2 linked regions of the Caenorhabditis elegans genome follow. The protein of the gene in region 2 interacts with the protein of the main gene of each other region in a pairwise test. Each region holds a gene or a part of one and is shown on either strand. Other genes may lie near its edges. The genes, in order: tbx-38 and ceh-51.

Region 1 (4,652 bases), on a different chromosome or scaffold from region 2:
CTCGGCTGGTTTATCTTATCAATACCACAATTCTCATGGGAATTCCCTACATGATGCCCGTTTTCATTCTGTACTGGAGACATCAGATCTTCAATCAAATCAACGAAGTTCAGACACATTTGAGTGAACGAACCAAGAAATCGTCGTTGGATTTGGTGAGGGTGAGTGGTAGGAGTAGGCTTGCCTGCCTAGTAGGTAGGCAAACAAGCAGGCAACTTTCCAATTTTTCCAGGCACTCACAATGCAGGCAATGTTCCCGATGGTATGCCTTCTTCCCAATGTTGCATACTTCCTTGTGGCGCAGGTGAGATAGGCAGGCAGGCAGGCACGCCTAGCCCATTGAAAAATTTCCAGCGAATCCACATCGAGTTCGAGATTGCCGAGTTCGTGCCGTTTCCAACCTGCGTCATCCCGTGCCTCATCGATCCGATTCTAACGATCTACTACGTTGCACCATATAGGAGTTTTGTGACGCGGCGGCAGAGAAGTGTCTCGATTGGGGTGACGTTGTCCGTGGCGCAGTCTTCCGCGAGGACTATTTGATTTTTTTTAAATATTAATAAAGTTTATTTCAATTGTTATTTATGAGACACATAAATAGTAATCCAGGAGATCAGTGCAGTACAATATTCAAAGGGGGAGAAAGGCAATAGGTAGGGGGTATAAAAATATTACAAAAAATTCACAAACTTTGGAATTCATTTTTGAGCTCTTGTGGTTGTCCTGGCATCATCATTTGCTGCTGTTGCCACCAAAACTCGTATTGTTTTTGATAATACATATTCCAAGCTAATTGAGCATTATTTTGAACTTCGAAATTGTAATTCTGAGCACTTGCAAACTGTGGCTGGTAGTTCTGCGGAGCCACAAAATTCTGGTTGAAATAATACGGGGTTTGCTGTGGGAGATCTATTTGCGGTGAGATTGTCGGTGGGGTTACCAATTTGCTGCGTTTGGGCGGAGAGTTTTCAGAATTTTCAGAGTCTGAAGAAAGCCGTCTCTTGCCATTCGAACGAAATCCGGATGCAAATTTATTGTGATGAACCTTGAGGTTTTTGAGGATTTCGTTCTGGAAAAGGGTACAATTTTGTAGAGAATATATGTATGTAGTTGGTGAAAAATTTCTAGTTGTGGGTAATTGAATTTGCTACATTTTTTTATTTTTTAGTTGACAAAATTTTAATAGCGTAGTTTCAATCCGGCACTTAATGAAAACTTAATGCTTTTTCCGAAATTGCCATGCCGAATAAATTTACCGAATTTGACGTGCTCGACAAATATTTTGAAAAAGTCGATTTGCGGCCTAAGCTTAAGCCTAAGACTAAGCCTAAGCCTAAGCCTAAGCCTAAGCCTAAGCCTAAGCCTAAGCCTAAGCCCAAGCCCAAGCCCAAGCCTAGGGCTAATCAGTGATGGGCAGCGAACATGCTTTCTTGGCGAACGACGAATTCGGCAAATTTGTCTATGCAGTTTTTTAAGTTTTCCAGGTTTTTTCTGAAGGTTTTTTCCTGTATAATGGCGTAAGCCTAAGCCTAAGTCTAAGCCTAAGCCTGAGCCTAATCCTAAGCCTAAGCTTAAGCTTCAGCAAATGGCAACTTTCGGCAAGTTTTTCAGTATTTTTTTAATTTTGAATTAGATGCTTTCTATATGTCTACATTTATTTTTGATTTGAAAAGTTGGAATAGCGCTTCGAAATTTACAGTTTTGGAAACTTGAAAATATGCTCTCCAACTTTAAACTACTTCATCTCCGTTGATAGTGACGCGATTAAAATGTTTTCAACTTTTTTCAACAAATTGTTGCAAATTTAATTTCCCACACCCTTTCAAATAACTAACCTGATAAGCAGTGACCACCATAAATTCAGTAGCCTCCAACCGGAACTGCTCCCCACTAAAATCCTCTTGATACCCTGTCTTATAATGTCGGACCTGTTTAACAGTGACCACTGGAATGTGCTTATGCATACTCTGCACTAAAATGACCTTCTGATCCTTGATTTCCGGGTTATTCGTGATTTTGATGTGAGCAAACGAGACGGGCTCACTCATCCATTCTGCTCCAGTACGCTTGCCACGCGGATGCTCCTTGTATTGGATTGGAAGAATCGGATCTCCTTTGGCGAATTCTTTCCATTCTCCTGCGTCGAATTTGTATCTGGAAATGAGTTCAAGTTTTTGAAATTGGAATCGTCCTATAGGTTATAACTCTGAAAGTATACCAGCTATCAAAAAGTTGTCAATTTAGAAATTGTAGCAAATTTAATTTTCTACAATTTACCAGTTGAAAATTTTTTTCTATCTTTTAACCCAACTCACTTAATCCCGTCAACACGTTCCAAATGAATATAAATCGAGTAGAGACTGCCTGGATCCAATCCCTTGATGATATAGTCCAAATGCGGAAAAATCACCCTTCCACGGTTTCTCGTCACAATCATTTCGGTTTTCGGGTAGAACTCTTCCCAAATTTCTGGTGTGCTCAAGGAGACTTTAATTCCGGATGGGGAGGTGCACGAGTACATGGTAATGCTGTAACAGGGGGAGTTATAGGAGTAACAGAAGCACAAAAAAGTGAGACCGGAAGTAGAGCAACAAAAATCTAATTGTAATAAAAGTGCTAACCACTCTCACTAATTCTGTAAAACTGAGCCGGTAAGTGGGCGGAGCCGGAAGGGGCTGGGCCACACGTAGGGGTGGACACGTGGCAAGTGGAGCACAACTTGGCACATATGAGCGTGTGGCCATGGGAGATGTAGCGCACGGCGGCCTTGGGTGCAGGCTTAGGCTTAGTCTTTAGGTTTAGTCTTAGGCTTAGTCTTTAGGTTTAGGTTTAGGCTTAGACATAGACATAGGCTTATGCTCAGGCTTAGGCTTAGAGTTATGCCTAGGCTTAGGTTTAGGCTCAGTCAGGCTTCTGCTTGGGCTTAGGCTTACAATTAGGCTTAGGCTTACACCTTTGAACAAGAAAAAACCTTCAGAGAAAACCTGGAAAACTGGAAAAACTGCATAGGCAAAGTCGCCGAATTCGCCGTTCACCAAGAAAGCCTGTTCGCCGCCCATCCCTTATTAGGCTTAGGCTCAAGCTAAGGCTTAGGCTTAGGCTCAGGCTTAAGCTTAGACCTCAGCTCAGGCTCAGGTTTAGGCTAAAGCATAGGCTTAGGCTTTTTGAATTCACACCAATATAATAATGACCTAGAAGGATCACACGCGAAGTATATCCAAAATAACTGTAAAATCGGAACACTCATTAAACTGCGAGCCAATGTTGGTGTCTGATTCTTGAACACCTCTTCCTCCAACTGAGCATCTCTATGGTCTTCAGCAATCTAGAATGTGTAGTTCACACTTCAAAAGTATACCTCCACCCACACCTTGACACCTCACACTCTAGTGATAGCGGTGCGCAGTTTTGAATTGGCTCGGAAGGAGAAGATGTGTCGGGCTCAGCGGGAGGGCTGGTGCATTTTGAAATTGGTTAGAAACACAAGAAATTGATTATAAAAATAATTTTATATTTTGTTTTTCATACATTTTTCAATAGCTTCATACTTAAACGTTACTATTAAATGTACATTTCTTCCAGTAATTTTTACTGCAAATATGAGATTTTTCAAGTAATAATAACGGTTCAAAAACGGTTCGAAACACTTGGCAAAATACTTTATAGCAAAGTATAAGCGGCACATGTCTTTGAGCCGTAACACAACTCTCTGCCATGTATGGTACGCCACGTGGTTTGGAAAACGAAAGACACACGATATTGTGGGAAACTTGGAGGACATCTGGAAAATTAAAGAAAAAAACAATATCGATTAGGAATTTAGGAATAGTTGGAAAACGATTTACAAACTTTTTGATAGCTTTGATAACAATTTAATCACGAAAATTATAATAAAAAATTATTGAAAAAAATTTACAAAAAAAAAAAGAAATTTTTCGCGTCAAAAACAAAAAAAAAAAAAAAACGCTATAAAAAAGTTGTCAACTATCAAAATGTAGAACATAAAATTTACAATTTTTGGATAGTTTACAACTTTAATAACAATTTAGTTACGCAAGTTTAAAACAATTTAAAAATGTTCGCGTCAAAAATAAAAACAATTGTTATCGCAATGGTCAATCAATAAATCATCAAAATCAATAAATCAATAGAAAGAAAATAAATTCATTAATTGATAATTCACACTTCAAAGGGATCAATTTGAATTGAAAACGAAATGAGTTCAAATTCTTCGAATTCTTCAAATCCTGCTGCAACAGATGCTCCAAAGGTAAGTGGAAATTCAGATGATTCTTTAAAATGCCTCTACCTTTTCAGAAAACTTCCGTTGAACCGGGTTCGGAAGCCAACAATTGGCATATCACGGAGGCCGATGAGAAGGGATTCAAGTTGACCGATATGATCAAGAAACTTCTGAAGCCTGTATTCTCGAAAGCCATTATGTTTGATGTAAGTAAAGGAGACTCTATACCGGCCTGCCTGCTTCACCTGTGCCTGCCTACATGCCTTCCCATTGCCTATCTGAATCATCCCTGCATATTTACCTGCCTGCCTCATACCTGCCTAAATGTTTAACCACTGCATTCCTACCTATTCTCTACCTGCACCATCCCTGCGTTTCTAAGCGGTTGCCTGCCTACCTACCCACGCCC
Region 2 (4,199 bases):
CGGCTCAAAAAATGGCCTATAATTCGTTAAAATTTGAATTTGACCGACTTGTCAATGCCGCAGCGACTGGAAACATTTTTTTTTGAAATCATCGTTAAATTTTGAGTTTACAGCATGATTATCTTGAGTTTTCAACTCCATTTAGGTATTTTAAAATCGATGGACGAAGAGATTTTTAAATTTTTAAAACCAAATCTCGCCGTAGTCCATGGACTTTAAAATACCTAAATGAAGTTGAAAACGCAAGATAATTACATTGTATACTCAAAATTTGACGGTGATTTCAAAAAAAAAATTGCCTTCAGCCGTTACGACATTGACAAGTCGTCGGTCAAATTTGAAATTTTAACGAATTTTTGGCCATTTTTTGAGCCGTCATAATTTTTTTTTGAGAAGTTTTCAAAAAAGTTTCATTATGAAATTCTGTGTTTTCAGACAATTTTGAGTCTAATGAAGCAATAAAAAAAATCGACTACACCGCCTATAATACACATGCTCGGAGAGTTGTAAATTTGAGACAAAAATTTTGAAGTTGTGGAATTTCTACTAATTTTGATGTTCTAAAAGGTTCAAAAACACTGAAAATTCAAATTTCGCGGTTTTTTTTCTTCAATTCAATCGAACATCGTTTATTGGGGGCACACAATAATACAAGTGACAAAAAGCTACACAAATCAAGAAATAACATGCTTCTGGTCCTCCTCCGCCTCCTCCTTCGCCGATTTCTGTTGCTGCACAGCGTCCTGCTTGATCTGCTTGTATTTCTCCTTTCTCAACTTGAATCTCCGATTCTGAAACCAAATCTTGATCTGCTCGGGCGAAAGTCCGATGACTGCTCCCAACTTCCGTCGCTCGTCAACCTTTATTGTGTCGCACTGCTCAAATCTGGTTCTCAACGCGTAAAGCTGAGAATCGGAGAACGGAGTTCGAGCGCCTCTCCGCTTTTCTGAAGGAGCTCTTGGATGCTGCTGATGCTGATGATGTAGAAAAGACGGCGGTGGTGGGATGAAGCCAGCGTGATGAGCCACCATAGGATGAGGAAACGAGGATGGGGAGAGTTGTGAGTACTGCTGCTGGAACCAGGCGAAGCATTGAGCTTGGTAGGCTTGAGCATGGGCTTGAACTCTGTAAAAAAAAAGGAATTTTCGGAAGAAAAGCGATCACGGAGATGAATTTTGTTGCAAATAAGCAGTGATCAAATTTTCCAAATAGGGATTTTTGCCGCTGTAAATTTAACATGCCAAAAAGAAGCTACCAAATTTGCCCAATTTGTGGCAATTGGACTTCTTGGAGCTGTTAATTTCAAAAAAAGCAGCTACCAAAATTGCCTAAATTTGGAATTTTGGCCACTGCTAATTGCGAAGAAGAAGCTTCGAAAATTGTTCAAAATTGAAATTTTTGAAAACAGTTAATTGCAAAAAAAGTAGCAAACAAAATTTCCTGAATTGGATTGTTAAGAGCTCTTAATTGCATAGAAGCAGCTACGAAAATAGTTCAGAATGGACTTTTCGACACTGCTAATTGCAGGAAAACAGCTACCAAAATTGCATAAATTTGGAATTTTTGGAGCTTTTAATTGCAAAAAAGCAGCTACCGAAATAGTTCAAATTGGAATTTTCGACATTGCTAGTTGCAATAAATCTACCAAATTTGCCCAATTTGTGCAAATTGGACTTCTTGGAGCTGTTAATTGCAAAAAAAGCAGCTGCTACCAAAATTGCCTAAATTTGGAATTTTGGCCACTGTTAATTGCAAAAAAGCAGCTACCAAATTTGCCCAATTTGTGCAAATTGGACTTTTCGACACTGTTAATTGCAAAATTGCAGCTACCAAAATAGTTCAAATTGGAATTTTTAGAGCTGTTAATTGCAACAAAGCAGCTAACAAAGTTTTTTTTTGCTAAAAATGCCCGTTCGCGGCCATATAGTGTGAAAAAGCTATATTTTGAGTAATTTCCCACTGTCAAAACTTATGGGGTTATTCAAGAAATGTTACTTGCAAAATGTATTTAAATACATGTTTTTAAATGTATTTTAATACAGTTGTGACGTAATTTTTCTACACTTTTTAATTTTCCGACGCTAATTGAATAACCCCATTAAAATTAGCGGTTCTTCACGCATTTCGGTAGAAAAACGTAGTGAAAATCACTCTAAAACGCCCGTTTTGTACTGAAAAGTATCGAAAAAACTTACAACATATCATTCCCATTATGAGCCAGCTGTTGTTGATAGTAAAGCTGATTGGGATCCGCCACGTAGCACGGTGATGGAGCCTGATAGGCCGCCGGATAGGCTGGCGATGAGCTCATTGAGCCCGGAGAGCTGCTTGGCATTGTGGAATATTCCATTACAGTAGCATTAGTAATAGCAGAAGTTGAATTAAGATTCGAAGAAGACAAAGGATAATAGTCACCGCCGTTATTAATATTATAGTTGGATGATGACATTTTGTGTGGAATGAATTGGGGGAATTATAGTGGCTATTCTCCAGCTGGGGAGGCTGTAAATCTAGGCGGAGCATTGCTGCCTAGGTAGGCGGGGAGGCGAGAAGGTGCGATTTTGTTTGGCGGGAGACATGACCGGGAAAAGGTGACACCGGAGAGGTGAGATACCTGGGAATTGGGTGAGATTTTCCGGCTGTTCTTCAGAATTGTCTGAAAATCTGGAAAAATGTGAAGTTTTTCCACGGAAAAGCGAATTTTCGATTGATTCTTGTAGTTTTTCGTACAAATCGGACAATGCCAAAATTTGGCAGTTTTGGTACTTTGTGTTGGATTACGGTAGAAATTTTGGTCTGAAAAGCTTATTTTTAAGCCAATTTCAGTCAAAAACTGCAGTTCCGGCAATTCGGCAAAAACTTGCCGGAATTAAAAATTTCCGGCAAATTTGCAAGTTGCCGGAATTGAAAATTTCTGGCAAATCGACAAATTGCTGGAATTTGAAATTTCCTGCAAACCGGCGGAATTAAAAATTTCTGGCAAATCGGCAAACTGGCAAACTGCCGGAATTGAAAATTTCTGGCAAAATGGGCGATTTGCCGGAATTGAAAATTTCCGGCAAATCGGCAAATTGGCGGAATTGAAAATTTCCGGCAAATTGTCGGAACTGAAAATTTCTGGCAAAATGGGCAATTTGCCGGAATTGAAAATTTCCTGCAAACCGGCAAAAATTTGCCGGAATTTAAAATTTCTGGCAAATTGCCGGAACTGAAAATTTCCTTCAAACCGGCACATTGCCGGAATTGAACATTTCCGGCAAACGGGTAAAAACTTGCCGGAATTCGCCGAATTTTCCGAACAACAATTGCCCGCCTACTTAAAACTTTTAAAAAAGCAAAAAAGAAAAAAACAACTGACATAAAAATTATCTGATCAATAAGATATTGGAAAAAATGTTGAAAATTGCAAAAAAATATATCGAATCTAGGCATATAGTGCTCCCTAAACTACAACCTACAACAAATTTCAAATAAAATATACAAAATTTTGCAAAAAAAAGAAAAAATATAATTAAAATTCAAATTTCGAAATGTTAAATTTGAAAATTTTAGAGTTTTTCGACGAAATTACAACAAAAACACTCTGAAAATTATAAAAATCCTGGATTTTTTCAGGTGAAAGAGGCAAAAATCATCGCAATGACTTGTACACACGCGGCTCTCCGTCGAAATGAGCTCGTGAAGCTCGGCTTCCGCTACGATAATATCGTAATGGAAGAAGCCGCTCAAATTCTTGAAGTTGAAACATTTATCCCATTGTTACTACAAAATCCACAAGACGGACACAATCGACTGAAACGATGGATTATGATTGGAGATCATCATCAGCTGCCGCCAGTTGTACAGAATCAGGCATTCCAGAAATATTCGAATATGGAACAATCGTTATTTGCGAGATTAGTCAGGCTTAGTGTACCAAATGTGCAGTTGGATCGACAGGGAAGAGCCAGGGCTCAGTGCGTGTTTTTTTTTGGGGAATTCTTGAGAAATTCTACGTGAAAATTAAGAATTTTACGGTTGAATTTACCGAAAAACGATTTTTCGTGCGAAATTGGCAAATTTTCATATGAAAATTGCAACTTTTCACAAGAAAAATTTGGCATTTGAGCTCAATTTGCTGAAATTCAGATTTTTTTCGGAAAATTGGCGAATTTCTAAGTGAAAATTGAGATTTTAAATATAAATTTACCGAAAGTCGA

Evidence for each region.
Region 1: the proteins of ceh-51 (region 2) and tbx-38 interact in a two-hybrid assay, tested with the Caenorhabditis elegans proteins (one large-scale study listed by BioGRID).

The regions. Positions count from the first base shown.
Region 1 is NC_003281.10:11,783,532-11,788,183, forward strand, and holds tbx-38 (T-box protein 38), read right to left. Parts: upstream 2,531-4,652; 5' UTR 2,522-2,530; coding exon 2,316-2,521; intron 2,294-2,315; exon of another isoform or gene 2,214-2,293; intron 2,155-2,213; coding exon 1,836-2,154; intron 1,070-1,835; coding exon 683-1,069; 3' UTR 551-682; downstream 1-550. Other genes in the region: srd-74 (Serpentine Receptor, class D (delta)), read left to right, coding at 1-161, 233-304, 355-543; C24H11.1 (Serine/threonine-protein phosphatase), read left to right, coding at 4,217-4,270, 4,318-4,449. UniProt on the Caenorhabditis elegans protein: Transcription factor. Required for mesodermal induction, acting redundantly with transcription factor tbx-37. Together with tbx-37, acts by inducing cell fates in the AB lineage, thereby playing a role in development of the anterior pharynx.
Region 2 is NC_003283.11:18,872,383-18,876,581, reverse strand, and holds ceh-51 (Homeobox protein ceh-51), read right to left. Parts: upstream 2,450-4,199; coding exon 2,196-2,449; intron 1,126-2,195; coding exon 675-1,125; 3' UTR 600-674; downstream 1-599. Other genes in the region: emb-4 (Intron-binding protein aquarius), read left to right, coding at 3,616-3,956. UniProt on the Caenorhabditis elegans protein: Required for mesoderm development, including specification of muscle and coelomocyte precursors.